Linked DNA regions of Mus musculus. The protein of the gene in region 2 purifies or fractionates together with the protein of the main gene of each other region. This does not show direct contact. Links are inferred from orthologs where the notes say so. Each region holds a gene or a part of one and is shown on either strand. Other genes may lie near its edges.

Evidence for each region. Proteins that work in one complex are often made in the same cells at the same time.
Region 1: the proteins of Slc38a9 (region 2) and Lamtor5 purify together in Homo sapiens (co-immunoprecipitation; 5 studies listed by BioGRID and IntAct, with this or other methods). This does not show direct contact. The link is inferred for Mus musculus from reciprocal best matches to the Homo sapiens genes SLC38A9 and LAMTOR5.

What each region holds. Positions count from the first base shown.
Region 1 is NC_000069.6:107,277,448-107,281,670, reverse strand, and holds the start of Lamtor5 (ragulator complex protein LAMTOR5), read right to left. Parts: upstream 2,814-4,223; 5' UTR 2,755-2,813; coding exon 2,558-2,754; intron 1,802-2,557; coding exon 1,740-1,801; intron 1-1,739. UniProt on the Homo sapiens protein: As part of the Ragulator complex it is involved in amino acid sensing and activation of mTORC1, a signaling complex promoting cell growth in response to growth factors, energy levels, and amino acids.
Region 2 is NC_000079.6:112,684,763-112,688,408, reverse strand, and holds part of Slc38a9 (sodium-coupled neutral amino acid transporter 9), read right to left. Parts: exon of another isoform or gene 2,433-3,646; coding exon of another isoform or gene 2,344-2,432; coding exon 2,211-2,343; intron 1-2,210.

The sequences.
Region 1 (4,223 bases), on a different chromosome or scaffold from region 2:
ACTATCTCTAAACACCTTCTCAAGCATATAAGGAAGCTGTAATTCAAGTCATCTGATGGTAGTAACTATTTTATAGGAACCTTGCTGAAACCAAGAAATTCAAAGGCGAGAGTGACAAAAAGCATTCAGTATGGATAAGGGGCTTGTTGATGCTAATTAATTCCTTATGGGAAATCTGAGTTTCTCTTCCTATGCTCAATCTCAAAGAAGCAGCCATTACTCAGAAGTCCAGTTGTAAGATCACCTTGCCAGCATATGTGAAGACCTGTGAGCAACTATTTCTGCTAGCAGAAGCTAGCTGGGCTCCTTTCAAATGTCCCCCGAGTCTTTACTATTACTTTGACTTGTATTAACTAAATCAGGCTCTAGGCACAAAAGGTAACCACCAAGCTTATTATAGATCCCTGAAATAAAGGGGTTTACTTACACCTAAAACTAAGGTAGTAGACAATATAACCTGGCAGAAATTCTGGATTGACTATTACTACATAAAAAATCCGTAGGCCAAAGTGCAGCCCGGAAATCTATTGGAAATAGCAACTTCGCACCTTGAAGGTTTTACTTAGTTTTTTTTTTTCCTCCACATTTGCATTTAAAGAGTTTTCATTAGTAACTTGGCAAATGCTTCAAAAAAATTTACCTTTGTTCCAAATGGCTGCTTTTTGTATAAGACATAACTATATTACTTTTGTCAGGTATCATACCAGCAAAAGATCAGAGCTCTAAAAAACCTGCATCAGTTATAAGGATTCTTGGGTTTACTAGTTTCTGACATTAATTAACTTTAGCTATTTACCTTTCTGGACTTAGTTCCTTATCTGTAATTGCTACAATTTATTGAACACCACACAAACACATCTTGGTTCTGTACTGGGTGTTTTAAGCTTTGGAGCCAGCTTTAAAAACATCCTATCTCAACCATTCATTAGGTGTTTGACCCTGGGCAAGGTACTTTTAAGCTTGCTAAATTTCTTGACCATAAAGGGCTTTGGTGGGGGGGGGGGGGCAGGAAGGGGGGTTATGTACGTTTTATAATGAAAACACTAAGAATAGTGCCTGGCTGGGCATGGTGATGCACACCTTTGTTCCCAGCATTCAAGGGATAGAGGCAGGCAGATCTCTGTGAGTTACAGGCCAGCATGGTCTACAAAGTTTGTTCCAGGACAGCCAGGGCCACGTAGAATAAGTTTTTAAAAAAAAATGTCTTAAGACAACACACACATAATGTATGTATGAAATAAAATAACCCAATGAAGAAACTGAAGCCCCAAGAGGCTCCTTCTGTTCGGCACTCATGTTGCTAGCAGACAGCATCGGAGAATGGGGTTGAAGTCAGACGTGTCTAACTAGGAAATCCCTATTTTTACTGACAATAACTTACTGTTGAGAGTGGCTGGACTAGCAGCCAGCATCATCCATTTTCAGGGTTATTGAGGCAATTAAGGAAATAGTGTAGCCTGACTGTGCCTGCACAGGGAATGCATTCAGTAAAGATGTCCTTATCTAAAGCCCTTTTCTAGACCACTTAAAATTTATTCAAAACCATTTTAGTAGGAACAGTTGTAGAACTGGGAGGAACATTTCTGCCTTTAAAATGCAACTGAAAGGCTTCAACCATCTACTCTTACTTGGAGATAGTCTCTATGCCCTAAAGGTAACAGGAATAAAAGCTAGAAAATAGTAGCAGTGTAAGTTAAGGCTCTCAGAACTTCAAAGGGAGGCTGGTAGGAGACACTTACAGCCCAGATTAAGTCCTTGTGAATCTGTGCATAGGACTCCAACAATGGATGGATTCTTCATTCTAATTTTGGGAGCACAAGAAAGATGAACCAGATGATGTGAAGAAAATATTTCAAATTACTGTAGTAAAACAGATTTTCTATGCACCGAGTATTAAGCACTTCAAATCAGCCCTTAAATTTTTTCGCCCCCTTTCAGAGGACAAACTGTGAGTTGTTTAAATAAACAAAACAAAACCCAAACCATTTTCTCAGGCACCTCTGCTTCACAAAGACACAAACAAGGCAGTTATCTTTAGGGCTCTGTCCTTGGTATAGAAGCATGCTCTAGGACTGCAACTCCTGAAGACAACTGTTAAATCTCAGTAACGGGAATTGCTCCTGGAGGGGATTAAGAAGCTCAAGGAGGAGGTGTCTTCTTGTAAGCCACTTTACACCTCCCAATTTTAAATTTTACAGAGATAGCTGAAAAACTTTACGGATATATTTACTTCACAAGCGCTGAGCAACTGACGGGCCACAAACGCGGGAAGATGTGCGTGAAAGTGCTTTGGCACTGCGGGGGCTCGATTTAGCACACCCGGGGCATCCTTCCCCAAACTTAATCCGTTTCCCAAACTTCTCAAGAGCTACTCGATTCTGCGAACACGCCTAACGAAACTTTACTACCCAGTAACGAGCGGCCCGGCCGTAGGCAGAAGTCACCCGCTCGCCGCCCCGAGTGCCCCAAACGCTTCCGCAGACACTCGCGGTCCATGCCGCTGTCCCATTCCAGCTCCCCTGTCCGGAGCCCAGGACCGGCCGCACGCACTACTCACGTGTCCTCCAAATGCTGCTCCAAAGTCGCCTCCATCCCGCAGGCTGTCCGCCCCAGGCCAGGACCCCGCAGCAAAACACTTCCTCCTTCACCGCAAACCTCGATCACGTGACTTGACCGAGGCGGGCGCCTGGACGGCGTCTCCAGAGGGACGAAATTCAGCGCGGCGCCGCGTCCGCGCTCTTTACGAAAAGGCATAGCTACTACCACAGGACCAGTGATGGCTGGCTTTCGATTGGGGGTGCTGGGCCTTCAAAGCAATCTGTAGTCGGGCCTCAGGGCCTTTTCCTGACCTAGCACTTGGACTTAGTGATTTTTAACCTTTGGATTTGGTTCAAGCAATTTCCAGTCCTAACCAGACGTAGACCTGGTTTAAATTTTAAAGTAACCAGCAGGTCTGGCATGGTCTCATCTATGCAATAGGCCAATCGCTAAGAAGACAGTGCTCAGTTTCTGACCCTAGGTCAAGAGGCTGAGGTGTATACTTTACCTATCAAAGCAGAACTGGCCTCCAGGTTCTGCATCCCTCAGTTCCCACCTGGCATACCTTGCCCCCAACCCTGAACTTTCCAGCCCAGGGGCTGGGCTGCCCTTCCCTTTCTATAGGGCTCCTTTCTATAGAATCCAGACATTTTGGTCTCCTTCTCCTTTTCTCTCTCTGCACACATTCCCCCTTCTCTCTTTCTTCCTTCCTTTCCCAGGAAACTTCGCTGGCCTTGGTCCTTGGGGCCAGTGAACTCACCCACCGGCTGGCAGCTTCCCAATAAACCTGCCTTTAACATCATCTACTCTGGTTTAAATTGATTCATTTCACCAACATCGGAGGAGAAGTAACCTATCACACAGGGCCGATGGGGAGGGGTGCACACACGGGACTAAAGGAAGAGATGGCACACGTTGAAACCCCAAACTGCGTGCTGGGAAAGTGTCAGAATCTTAACATTGGTACCTTCTTTGTTCTCGTAGGTTGGCCTCGAATTCTCCCACCTTTGTCCTGTGATTTACTGCCATGTGCCATATTTAATTTGCATTGATACTTCTAATAGCTAGGTCATGGGAAGTTTTAGGGGGAAGAAATTAGGTTTAAGTTTTAGGTGTTAGTGAAGACCGTGTATTATTACTTTAAAATAACTGAGCTTTAAAATTTTTATTCCCTTTTCTGTTTTAGAGACAGTATCTCATATACCCCTCATTGCCCTCAAATTTGCAGTGTGTCCGAGGCTGGCCTTGAAGTATTGATCTCTCTGCTTTTACTTCCCAAGTGCTGGGATTACACCAACATGCCTGGGTTTAAAAACTTTAGAATAAACTAACCACTCATAGTCCTACTGTGAAGAGATGATAGTTTGATAAGGATATTTTGGAGACTATCTTTTCCATATGGCTATCTTTGCAAATGTATTATTTGAATTTTTTTTGTTTTTTGTTTTTTGTTTTTTTTTTTTTTTTGTTTTTCGAGACAGGGTTTCTCTGTGTAGCCCTGGCTGTCCTGGAACTCACTCTGTAGAGAAATGTTTTTTAAAAGCAAAATCAATATACATACTATATATACAATTCTGAATTATGTAGCAGGGATTCTTCACAGAATTTATTATAAATACCTTTTCAGGACAGTAAGTTTTTATTTACTTTGTTTGTAATAGTTGCAAAACACACCAACTTTGTTA
Region 2 (3,646 bases):
CTTTGTAGGGAAGAATATCCTGAATGCTATGCATGGTGTGGATTCAGGGACAGCTAGTTCTTAGAGACACAGATAAAAACACAGATGAAAATTGTGTTTTTCCTTCTGTTTATTTACTTTTCTCTATGACCTAGACGATATTTCCTTTTCCCATGAGCAAAGAAAAAGTGCAAGACTATGAACGCCCCATCAAGAAGGAAAAACAGTATAGCTGACAAAACGAATGGGAAAAAAAAAAAAAACAAAATAGCAACAACAATAACAAAACAATTCAAATCAAAACTCATAAGGAGCATGGTTCAATACGAGGTAGAAAAATTCTGGTTGTGATCTTACACTGTCCTAACACAAAATGGAAGAATAAACCTATTCCATGTACACCTCACCTAGTCCTGTGCTCTGTGTTGGCCTCTGGGTCTGGCTCGTGCCCGGAAAGATGTGGAGGATGGGGGTGGGAAGAGTGGCAGATGCTGAGGAGGCACGGGGACAGGCAAGATCACAGCGTGGCAGTGGCAGTGGCAGTGGTGTGGGGCAGCATCTCCCTCTGAACATTCTCATGACACACAGGCTCTTGCTGACAGGCAGCCGTGCTTCCCTGGCTCCGGCTAAGCCCTGCACAGTGCCTTTTTGCTAAGCCCTCAGTGACAATGACAAGGCTGCTCTGTAGGCAGGTGCGTTTAGTAGCAAGGACACAGGGGATGCTGGCAGGCAGCTTCCTCCCCTTTCCAGCTTAGAATAATAATAATAATAATAATAATAATAATAATAATAATAATAATAATAATAATAGCATTTCTTCCATAAATGAAGAGCCTTTACTCTATGAGCAGTGATTTATTGTTCTTCTCCAAAACACCCCGTTAGGGAAAGTGACTTGGGGGTTTTTAGAACATGAGTGTGGATGTTTATACAAATTCGTTACAAGTGGAGAGATCAATTAACCTTGGCAACTGGTTAGATGCACTAGTCGTCTCTCTCAGTGCCATCGTTATAACAGAGGGTTATGACTCAGTGTGCGGTGTTGGCTTTACTTCCAGGTAGTGCTGCCCATCCAGCTCCAGATGGTATCTCTGACGCCTGCTTCTAAAAGTACAGCCTCTGGGAGGCTGAATCAGCCTGGGATCTCAAGGCCCGAAGGATTTATATAATTCTATAATGCACTTCACCATCACTACGAATGTAAAGGGCCCGTGGGGCAGGTAAAAATAAAAAAAAAATTAAAACTACGAAAATTGATCCTCCGTATGGCATTTCATAAGTCTTTGCTTTCAATCTTAGAGCCCAGGTATGGTGGTTTGTGCTATAAACCAAGGAGATGAAGTAGGAAGCTCGGGTTTAAAGTCCCTCTCCATACACACAGAGTTGGAGGTCAGCTTGGACTTCATGAGATGCTGCCCAAATAAGCAGAGTCAAGGAGGTCTGCATGCTGACCTCACGCAGCCATTAAGGGGGTGACATCAGACAGCCATGGTCAGGTGGTACCCACTTCTCCTTGGTAGGCATCTAGTGAAGGGCAGAGCTGGTTCCTTTTGGATTCTCAGACCCATTTTAACCAGAGTTTTTAAGCTTTCAAATTTCTGAGTATCTCACATATGATCACCATTATAAGCAACAGATTACTTACATACTTTAAAATTCTAAAATATAAGACAGAATTTAGTCAATCATGACCCATAATGTAAACTAGGCCTTTATTGAATTTGTAGCCTTTTCCTAATAATTTCTTAAATGTTTATAAGACAAAACAATGAACTGTGATACTATGTGACCTGCAATACTAATCAGGAAACTATCAGGTATGTGTATGAACAAATTTGTTTCTTATTCCTATAGAAAATGTATATAAATAATTTTTCTTTGTAGCTTCAAATTTAGAAGTTAAATTTAGAGACTAGCCAGAACCTTATGTTTTTATCTAAGCTGCTATTTCAAAAGCAATTTGTCTTCCTCAGAGCTTTTGGTATCTGAGATAAGAAAAAAATTAAAGCTCCAAGCTATTGTCAAACAGATCGTTCCAAATGTCTCTACTCCAGGGCAGATAAGAATGAACAAGCCTGAAGCACCTATTAACTACTATTGCTTTGACTTTGCATGATGCTATCTTTGGACTCCTCCAGTGAAAAGTTCAACCCCTGGGAGTTGCCCTGGTTTTGGTGTTTACTGTTCATTACAACTGAACTCTAGACAAAAAGCAGAGCTTTGCTCCTTACCAGTGCCTTGTCTGCAGGAGTGGTGAGCCGGCTGTAGTAATGAATCCGCTTGTTCATAGCAGCAGCATGGTCACTAACCCTCTGAATGACATCATTCACATTGACAATGTTGGTAGGCTCTATATAGAAAGGCCTAAAGAAGGGAATATATACTTGACAAAAAACATTCAGGCAAGAATTCTGGAAGTCAGCCATTGTAGAGAATAATCTCCTGTCCTCCATGTGAAGCGGGCGGGCGCACCAAGGAAAGGCATGCGCTTCTCACTTTTGGTGGGAAAAGAAAACGTCACAGGAGAAGCATTATCCTACCCATAAAATACAGTTCTTGTCTCATGATACTTACTTTTACTTTAAACACTCTTGAAGCTTAAGGAAATTTACCAACAGAGGAGAGACAGCAGAAAACACTAGAGAAGTCATTAAAGAGAAATTTGCAAAGGAAAACAAAATGTATCAGCTGTGGGTCTCCAACGATTTAAGTGAGAGAGAAACTGCTTTGATTAGTTTTTTAAAATACTCTGGCACTGAATCAGAGAAATTATAGACCGAATGTCCTTTTACTGAAGAGGGCACTCCACTCCTTCCTCTATAGGCCAAAGTCATTTCCTTTGACAAACATCATGTCCTAAGGACCAGTGACCTCAACCTCTCTCTTTGTGTGGGGATCCAAACTGGGTCAAATGGAACATGGCAGCACCGGAGAGCTTTGCCTCATGGACTTTCCTTGGATCCTGGTAACGTACTCTAATGTCCTAATATTTATGTTCGTGTCCTTCCTCACTATGTCCTGATGAACTGCAGACTCTAGCTTTCAACCATCATCTCCAGTCAGCCCTTCAGCGCCATCTGAACCTCCCTCAGGTGTTTTCTAACTTTCCCAGAACGAGCACTCCAAAATGGAGAGACAAGGGAGAATCGCATGGCTCCGCCAAGTCTCAGCCTCTTAGAAGCAGGAAACAGCGCTGTGCCCCAAACTGTGGCTGTTACTCTTACACATTGGTAAAAACAATGGGAAAACAAAAGAAAACAAACCCCCAAGAAAGTTTCATTTCTGCTACTTTTCTAACAAACTCTGATACCTAAGAAACGGTAGTTGAGTTTAGCCTTCTAACTGACATACAGAACATTTGAGTCACTTGCTATTTATTCTCCATGACAACATTCAAATATAGTAGGTATCAACTAGTCAATTTCATGAATAGTAACAAGAGCATTTATAAAAGTAAAGCCATGGGCAGAGAGATCAACATAGCATATCAAACATACTGGCAAATGCATTAAGTGCTATTAATAAATTATAAGGGGGATATAGTAAAAATGAGTGGGCCAGAGGCTAAACAATCACTACATATATATTTGGCAGCCTAATATAACCACCAATCTCTCAAAAGTGTTACGATATGATGTATTATTTCTACTTCTACCATGATAGTGAT